Linked DNA regions of Oryzias latipes. The main gene of each other region encodes a partner of the protein of the gene in region 2 in a complex. Links are inferred from orthologs where the notes say so. Each region holds a gene or a part of one and is shown on either strand. Other genes may lie near its edges.

What was found. Proteins that work in one complex are often made in the same cells at the same time.
Region 1: satb1 (region 2) and hoxb2 share a complex: the UniProt entries of both Homo sapiens proteins name them as parts of the nuclear protein complex. The link is inferred for Oryzias latipes from reciprocal best matches to the Homo sapiens genes SATB1 and HOXB2.

The regions. Positions count from the first base shown.
Region 1 is NC_019866.2:24,276,693-24,281,652, forward strand, and holds the end of hoxb2 (homeobox protein Hox-B2), read left to right. Parts: 5' UTR 1-23; coding exon 24-501; intron 502-1,403; coding exon 1,404-2,203; 3' UTR 2,204-3,683; downstream 3,684-4,960. UniProt on the Homo sapiens protein: Sequence-specific transcription factor which is part of a developmental regulatory system that provides cells with specific positional identities on the anterior-posterior axis.
Region 2 is NC_019874.2:30,143,829-30,148,686, reverse strand, and holds part of satb1 (DNA-binding protein SATB1), read right to left. Parts: intron 2,334-4,858; coding exon 1,843-2,333; intron 1-1,842. UniProt on the Homo sapiens protein: Crucial silencing factor contributing to the initiation of X inactivation mediated by Xist RNA that occurs during embryogenesis and in lymphoma.

The sequences.
Region 1 (4,960 bases), on a different chromosome or scaffold from region 2:
GCTGAAACCAGGCTGAGGAAGCTATGAATTTTGAATTTGAGAGAGAGATCGGGTTTATAAACAGCCAGCCTTCCCTAGCAGAGTGCCTGACGTCCTTCCCCGCCGTCCTGGAGTCATTTCAAACTTCATCAATCAAGGAGTCGACAGTAATTCCGCCTCCCTTCGAGCACACCATCCCCAGCCTGAGCCCTTGCACAGCCATCCAGCCGACAGCAGCTGCTGGGAATCAGCAAAGCCGACGAGCCTCTGCCACAAATGGCCACCAGACGCACCACCGTGTCGCGGAGCAGCCCGGTCCGCCTGGCCAGGCCCCTGCCACGGCCACCCCGGTCGCTCCGCTGGCCCACGAGTTTCCCTGGATGAAGGAGAAGAAATCTTCTAAGAAGTGTTCGAAGGCTGGAGGCGGCTCCGGCGGCGGAGGATCGGTGTCAACCCCGGCCCCGTCCTACCCGTCTCCAACCGCCCCTGGGTACGCCTCAGCGGACGTCGAGTCACCCACAGGTCTGTAGACTGGGGCGCAGGGAGTGGCGTGCATGTGTGGAACGCGTGATGAGCATCTCCAGCTCACGCTCATTTTTTGAATTTTCTAGGAAGCTTCCTTATCATTTAAACACCGTATTTTCCCCCACATTCGTGCATGTGCGTCTGTTGGTTTGCGCGCACGCGTGTGGATTGTGGGGTGTTTGTGATGCTGCGCGTGGAGCTGCAGCACTGCATGATGCTGCAGTGCCGTGAAGTGATTCCAGTGATTTCATCTGGATTTCCACACAGACACTAACTCATAATTAGTGCATGAGTGCGTGCGTGCTAAAAATCTTCCATCCATAACTGCTTAGCTTCTATACCAGCACAGGAAGCTGCGCTTTCACAATATTATAACATTCATTGCTCCACTGGCATGGTCGCCATATTGGAGGGAGGCAGATAAGGCAAAAGACTGAAGTATGGCGGGGTGGGGGCTGGGGCGCACTGACAACTCGACAGGAAACGTTTGACGCACAATGTGAATTTCTGGGGTTTGGGCCATTCCTGCATTTTTTTTACTGACCTCCACGGTTTTGCAATTCCCTCTCCTAAAACAGACCTCCTTCATTTAAATGAGATTTCGTGTTTTCTTCTTGTCCCATCTCGTCTAATTTCCTGCTTTCTGTCATCTTCTTCGGGGGTTTTTGTACAACGACGTTGCTAATATTAAAGCCAGTCTGTGAACCACGACAGGAACTCGTTTATTTCTTTGTCTCTTTCGAATTTAAATTATGTCTTTCTTTCAAATACAGACTTCTTAGAAAGTAGAAAATAAATATCTAAATGGGTTCAGGTTTTCTAAATTTCCCTTAATTGATAGGCTAGAAAAAATAGATCTAGTTTTGAAATTTACATGTTCTTTTGTTTGTTTGCATCAGATTCCAGCCAGGCGGCTCTGGACGCCAGCGCGGCCGGGTCCCGCCGTTTGCGCACCGCCTACACCAACACGCAGCTGCTGGAGCTGGAGAAGGAGTTCCACTTCAACAAGTACCTGTGCCGGCCGAGGAGGGTGGAGATCGCCGCACTTCTGGACCTAACGGAGAGACAGGTTAAGGTCTGGTTCCAGAACCGGAGGATGAAACACAAGCGACAAACCACACACCACCGGGACGGCGGCGGAGGAAGTCCGCCCTCCAGCGCGTTCGAACCCCTGGAAGGCGCCGACGCGTCCTCTCCCTACTCCAGTCAGCCGCTGGAGGCTTCTGGGACGGGGGAGGCCTCCTCGGACGGGGAGCACGGGGGCGAAAACCCCGTTTCTTTCAACGATGACAGCGGGGACAATACGCGTCCCACGCCGGAGGACACAGGCCGTTCGCGCGCCTCTGAACGCCCACTGCTGCTCGGCACAGCTGGTCCGCATGACTCCACCGCGCCCCAGCCTTCTCCGCCCGCATTCCCGCAGAAAAACAGCAGCACTGCCGGCCTGATGCAGCTGGGGGACGCGGCGTTCTCCGAGCAGAGGGACCCCGCGGCTGCTTCATCCCAGCCTCACGCCATCTCCTCCTCCTCCTCTTCCTCCTCCGCGGCCCTCCCTGACCTGACCTTCTTCCCGGAGGACGCCTGCCTCTCGCCCAGCCTCCAGAGCTCCCTGGACAGCCCGGTGGATTTCTCCGAGGAGGACTTCGACTTGTTCACAAGCACACTGTGCACCATAGACCTGCAGCACCTCAACTTCTGAGGCGACATTAAAAACAAACGAAAAACAAAAAAAATTAAGAAAGAAAAGGAAGAGAAAAAAACTGAACGCATTTTTTTAAAAAAGAATCCCGGCAACATTCCATAAACATGAAGTTTTTTTCATGCTTTTTTCCGTCCTGGTTTTAATTTCCAGCTGTAATGTAACAGTTTTTATTTTTCATCTCCAAAAGGATATTTTTGTTTTTCTGAGTAGAAAATGTGGACAATTTCTCTTATTTGTCCCCTTGAATATATTTGGATCGTTTCTTGGTTGCGGGCCGTTCCTCCTCCTCCTCCTCCTCCTCCTCAGCGCGTGGATTCGTTTCCTCTCGTGCTCCCGTGCAGCTTCGTGGATCCTCATAATTTCTCAGGAACGGTGGCAGAGTCTGGACTGCTTCAGAAAACTCTCTGACGAGTGGAAAAACCCTGCTGAAGACACCAGGTTTAGACCTTAGTTTATTTATTGAGATTCTTTAATAGTGAAAATCCAAATTATTTATTGTACATATATTTTCATAGTGGAATAATAATAATAAAAAAGAAAGAAAAAAAGAAAATTTTGTGCATAATTTTGTGTTAGAATATTCTTAAAAGATTTGTTCATGATGTTTTATATTTTATTTAAAATGGCAACATTATAAATTCTTAGATGGCAATATTTTAAAAAATGCTGACTAATTATTAGGAAAACATGAATTTAACATTTGAATGACAATTAGGGTGTTAGTCATTTAGTACATTGTTTTTAAAATTGATCAAAAATTACCTTAATTTTCAATTTGAGACTAATGTGTACAATTTGTTCCACATTATAAAATAGGTTATTTAAAAATATATTGGAATCATTGAACCTAATAATAATTGTTTTGTAAAATGTTCCCATTAATTGTTTATTAATTATAGGCAAGTCTACATGAGTTCTTTGTGCAGACTGCAGAGCCTGACTGTGCAATTATTTTTTACGACATAATTCTAAAAGGAGAATAATAAAACCAACAAATCCATGCTGTTGTGGTCAGGGATGCATTCAACAGCAGGGTGCTGCATTCGCACTCCTGCAGCTTCTGTGTTCCCCTTCCAGAGAAGCACAGACAGGAAAACAGGACTCCCCTCTGCTAGCCTGTGATGCTAACATGCTAACTGCTCCCCTCCAGAGTCAAAATGGCGCTGGAGACAAAGGAGGATGTGAACAATGAGCAGTGGCAGCCATTACAGGATGACTGGCCCACAGTGACAGGCGCCGCGTTCCAGGCTTTTTACGAATCAAATAAATATAGTAAAAATAATTCAAATTGGCTACAATAAAAAATTTAGTAATAATAATATAAATATTATTACTTTGGAGATTTTTGATTTGCAAATCATTCATCCAGAGCTGCAAGGTATTTGGCTAAATTATTCATTTATTTTAGAATTTCAATAAATGTTTATGATAAAGCCCAGATTTGACTTTCCAGCCCAAATAAGCTGCTTAAAAAAAAGAAAAACATGATAAATAGCCTATGTGATGTCTGAACTGTTCATTTATCTCTGCATTAAGAAGGAGTTTTATTTTGATGGAAGTTCATGCTTTCAAAAACCTCAAACATTGAGGTGTTGGGGGCTCATTCACATTTATATATTTAGATGGATGAGCAGCAGAGCAGGTTAGAGCACCAGGATGCTCCTGTGACTAAAATCTAATCTTGGAATGGTTGAGCATTTAAACGGCCAATTGCAAAAATCATCTTACTATAAGAAAAGGATGCCGAGGCTTTTATTTTGATGCAAACTAGTTATCATTTGTCAAATTAGGACTTTACACTTTGGCTTTGCAAATCCAAAAATAAGTGAAACAGACGTGACTTTCTGTCGACTTTCTCACAGAGAGAAATAGCCGTGTGAGTAGTGCTGTGCAGTGACAGGCTGCAGTGGTGGTGGACAGAAAACACAAAGACAAAGGCTGATCGATGTGTTAAGAAAGCCGTCCAGAAGAAATGTCATTTTTCTTCTGGTTCTAACAGACGTGCTCAAATTAGAATAAATGGGATCCACTTTTTCTGCCTCTGCTCAGCTGGAGCAAGACAAAACACACTCTGTTTGCATGAACTAACACTTAAGGATTTGTTTTAAAGTAAGAGCGAATTTGCAAACCATTTGCATCATTTCAAAAACTTTCACAAATAAATTCTAACTGACTTTGAGCGGCTTCAGTTCACTGAAAGCAAAGTGTGGCGGGCAAGAACATGACAGAATATCCAACTTGGGGTCACTGGGTTTTCTAAAAAATGGAAAAAAAATACATCGGGTTGAAATGTTTAATGCTAAACCTTTTAGGTCAAGAGCATTTGAAAGATGTTTTTTTTTTCATTTTCTTTAACAAGCAAAAGTTCATTTTTCCGAAATGTCTTTAAAAGTTTCATTAAGTATGCAAGCAAAACACATCAAATACTTTACCAGATTTATTTTAGATAGGTGTCTGACAGCTCCAGACCAGAGTGAAAATGGAAAATGACAGTAGAAAAATTGCATTGAAGTATGGAGTCCAGAAACCCATAAAGAGCAGCAAATACTGTTTTTTCTCTGCAGTGTTCAGGAGTTGTTTGGTTGCACATTTTTGCCAAAAAGCATTTCCAGAAGCGTCAAAACTTTATTTAAGGTCTGTTAGCGTTCCAAAAGAAAGTAAGAAGCCTCACAACAACCAGGCAAAACTAAAAGATTAAAAGTCAAATGTGCTTTTTTTTTTTTTTACTGCAAGACAGATTCTGTGTTATTGTGT
Region 2 (4,858 bases):
ACAATGAAGCTCACAGACGCGAGTCTTTCTGCCCTTTTTCGGCAGTTTTCACACTACATCTCCCATGATGCATTGGCTTAAAGGGCCAGTGTCCCAGCGCACAATGAGTGCGCGTGAAATGTTTAGAAACCTCAACGGACAAACAAACAGTTTCTAAATTTTCTAATTTAACTTTTATTTCATCTCTTAGAAAAAACAGCCGCAACTTCCTGCTTTTTTGGCCACAATTATCACAAAATGCACGTGAGATTGCGGGGGGGGGGGGCTGTCGATCAATAGAGACCATGAATTTCTGTTTATTTTTTATTTTTTTGGATGCTGGTGTGCCGCGGGATTTTTGTCAAGGTTAAAGTGTCCCGTGGCTCAAAAAAGGTTGAAAAACACTGCTCTAGGACATTGTTTCTGCAGAGCGGCAGTGTTTTGTTAGAAATTCACCTCTGAGTTGTGGGCGGGACCTTTTTTCCCAGCTTCCCCATTGCTGAGAGCTCTCTGTTTACACCCTTGGCTTAGCCCTGAACCTGACAGGCCACTAAAAAACGGTGAGCAGATCCAGATTCCAGCTCAGATGTTCGTGGATCATTTTGTCTGCAGGTGGATGGATCAGAACGGGGCGGAGCAGGGAGATTGTAGCCCCGCCCACCACATTTTATACAAAAATACGATCTTTTTCAAACATTCATTCTTCCGCTCCTTATTTACGAGGATTTGAACCCAAAAATGCTTAGAAATACAATTTTGAGCTTCATTTTCTTTCTGTTGAAAATCTTGATTTTCCCCAGAGTGAGTCTTTGCGAGCAGGAAACATGAGCCGAACAGAGTTTTATCCAAACGGTTTTATCTGCAGGATTTTCCTAATTATTCCTTGTGCTATTCAAGGCACTTTAACATTGGGAGTTGGGTCATCTAGACCCACTAGACAGTGCTCTGAACCTTTTTTCTTCAATGATTTGTGATCTTCACTGGTGTCCATGGACTACGTGAAATCTTTCCACCTTTATCCACCTTTGTCATGGTAGGGAGAACACGTCACTGTAAGGGGGGGGTCATTTTGACCCCACAAGACACCACAAGGGTTCAAATTGAGATAAAAAATATTTGAAATGTACCAAAAAACCGGCGGTGGGCTAACCTGCAGCAGGACACCGGTTCTTTTCTGCTCAGATAAAAGCGCCAACATTAAAGAAACAAGCTGTCCCTTGGAGAAATCAACACCCACGTGTGTGTGTGTGTGCGCGTTTGTGTGTTGTTCTTCCGACAATGAAGTCGAGCGCCACATGGAAGCAGAGCGGGAAAGGATGTTAACGACTGAAGCTGGGCTCATTGGCGTGGCAGCCTGCCAGCAGTCCTCAGGTACGGCGGCGATGCTATCAGGATTCAGAAACGCAGCGGTCTTAAGACGTCTTTGAAAAGGAGTTTCAAATCACAACCGAGCCCGAAGGTGGGGGGGTGGGGGGGACGCACTTTTTACTTTGGTGTCAGAAGTGGGATTTTGTTGTTTTTGCTGTAAGAATTCCAAATGTATTTCATCTTTACCTGTAAAGCCTTTGCAGTTGGCTAAAGTGCTGTGAATGCATATAAATGTAAAAAATTTAAATGTAGAAAATGAAAGAAACTTTAGGAAGCCGTTTAAAAACGGGGGGGGGGGTTCACGATGTGGTTCAACCTTAAAAAATACACGGATTTCCAGGCAGACATTTTCTGCCGTTTGTTTCGGTTTTAGTTTCTACAACACCGACAGTGGAGACACCGGCAAAAATCAAAAGGGACCAGAGGGAAATAAAGTCAACGTTTCTAGTAAATTCCGTCTTTTGTGGCGTTTTAGTGAGGGCGTTCCCGTCTCACCTGGGTTCTGTTGAAAGCCACCCGAGCAAAGACGGCCTGCGAGATGCCGGCCCGTTTCAGCTCGTCCCGGACCCACTGGTAGATCTCGCCGGAGACCTCCGTGTTGGACGCCACCTGCGGCTCCATGGGCTTGCTGTGGGAGCTGCGGTTGACGGGCGGGTGGTTCAGGTACTGCTGCGACAGGGACTGCTGCGCCAGCAGCCGGTTCACCGCGTACTGCTGGTTGAGGATCTGCGCCATCACCAGCTGCTGGTTGACCAGCTGGGGGCTGATGGGGGTGGACACCAGGCCCGGGTGGTGCAGACCGGGGAGCTGGGGCTGTCGGCTCGCCGTCTGGCCGCCGTGCGGCGGCGGGCCGTGGGGCATAGGGGGAACCGGCGAGGAAGGGGTCTGCTCCGCCGTGCTGCCGGGGATGGGCTGCTGCTGGGAGAAGCCCAGGTGGTTGTGGTTGGAGCCGGGAGGGGAGAGGTCGGACAGGCCGTCCATTTCAGCTGCAGGGAGATAAAAGTTTGGGAATAAAAATGGAGGGCAGGCCAAACGACTGAGGTCACATAGCAAAGAGAAAAGTGGTGAAAAAAAGGCTTCATGAAAACACGGAAGCAGCAGAAATTCCCATCTGACCAGGTAACACGAGCATCAGTTTAAAGCACCACAGCCTCCAACCAGAAGAGAAACAGACGCGGTCTGCAGTGGATCAACATCCAGCCTCAAGTCAATCTTTGCGTGTCTTTAAATATTCTTGTTTACTCCCTTTGAGTCGAAAAGACATTTTTTTTTTTTTTTTTTTTGTGACCAGTGGGGCTTCAAAACCAAATCAAGGAAACCTAATTATCAATGGAGAGATGCTGGATGTTGGTGCGTTTCCCAAAAGCCGCCCGGAACGACTGGATATGACACAGGCGGTTAAAAAAAGATGGAAGCGCAGATAAAAGGGCCTCATTGTATCTGACCTGCTCTTCCACAACCCACGCCTTCAAAATTAACTTCAGAATGTCCGTTTTTTTCCCTTCCCCTCATGAGGCCTCAGCATGTGAAGCGTGTTTGTGTAGGTGCAGAGTTTATGTCCACGGAGACCACAGAAACGGCAGAATCCGATTCCCTTTGCACCCGTAAATCTCCAATAAAGAGCCCGTGCTGGCGTCTTCGTGGCTTAAAAATAAACGTAAAGAAACAGCGGCAGACGGGACTCTCACGGAGGACACCAACGATTTTGATGGAACGAATGGAGAAAACTGAACGGAGATGTTTGTGGTGAGATTCGCCTTTGGGAATTCTTAAGTCCATAATGGCTGCTTGGGAATATTTAGGACAAGTTTAAATTATGAGCTTAGGAGGCAAAAACAATGATTTAACATTCAAAGTAGTACCCACAGTGAAGCCAATAAGCAGTTGGAGAAAAGATGGATGTGTTCAGGTGTTTAGGAACTTTGGGCATCAAACTGAATGAGAATGCTCGCTCAGAAACGAGCCTCCGCTTATCAAGAGATTGGCGTTTTTGGGGGAGGCGGAAGTATTGCACAGATGTGTTTTTGAACGGTGCGTGTGCGCATCCGGATTCCTACGCGTCAACCAAACGCCAACTATCCCGGTCCGATCCATTACAAGGAAAAAAAGAAAGAAAAAAGGAAGAACGTGAAGTGGAACGGTGGGGTTCAAAACACTAAAAACCCAAACAAAATAACAATAATAATCATCTCTTTCTCTGTAACCATTCAGTGATGGTATGGTGGTGGTGGTGGTGGGGGGCATACTCACAACACACACATGAAGGCATTTCCATGCAAATTGAAAGGAGAAGGGGGTGACGGAGGAGCACGGCGGGCCCTCTTGTGGAATCCTGCCACAAAAGAGCCCCGGATTAAAGCGCACAATGGGAGTGGGGGGTCGGCATGTAAAGGGGAGTGAGCGGCATCGACCAACTCCTGCTCCTGAAGCCGAGGGGACGCTGTACCAGAGAACCTGCCGCCTCCACCAAGCCACGGGCCGCTGCCTGGCTTCAGGAGGATGGCGCCACAAGAGGCAGTGCCGCCTCTTGTGGCGCCGAGCGGAGCCTGAGGCCCCGCCTATGGTCGATGGGGCACCCGAGACTCGTGTGCCACGGTGTTGTGTCTGAGGTTATCCCGACATGACAGGAGGGTGCAAGAGTTCAACATGCTGAGTCAGCACAACTGGAGATGATATCAGTGTGTACAAACACGCGTGTGGTTAGCTTTTATCAGCCATCCGTGTTTCAGACTGAGGTTGTTTCAGTTTGAAGTAGCAGAGGTTCTGCTACACCATGACAAGATCATCATCTCATCTATTTTCTAAGTGTCTCCGGTCGTCTTTTGATTATCATTCGGCCGTTTTTAGCAGAAAATCCCCCCAAGAAACCCCATTTCGTTTCCCAGAACATGATTTCTGCAGAACGTTGTGGGCGGGGCTCCTGGCGCAGGCTAAGCACCGCCCTTGCTGCCTGTCATCCAGCTAGCTTACAGCCACTCACAATGTTGGGTGGGGGACCCAACATTACAAAAAGGGCGAGCCATCTTGGGAGCTATCCAGCCGTTCCAAAAATGCCTTTTTTTTCGTCTATCATCTTAAAAATTCGGTTTTTAAAAACACACTTTTCATCCAAGTGTAGGAGGAAGCGTCTATTCAACATCTACGCCAGTCCAGCCGTCTTCCTTTCAAGTGGCGGGAATTTTAAATTTGCAAATTTCTCCGACATAATCAAGGCTTCAAACCGTTTCAATGTGGTTTCTGTCAACAAGGAGTCCTGCATCATGGGGGGGTTGGTGTCTGGAACTGGTCTGAGCCGGAGACCCTACTTTCTGACTGAGCACCAACCTTTGAACCAACTTTTACAGGACAATTTATTAGGACTGTAGGTCTGCAATTTTGAGTCTTGGATAATGTTTGAGCGCTTGGAAAAGAAAAAGTCATCAAAACCTAATAAAAAATTGACATTTTTTTTTTTTAATTTAAGATAAAAGCAACCGAGAGAAACAGGAAGTCCTACTTTTATAGCAAATGC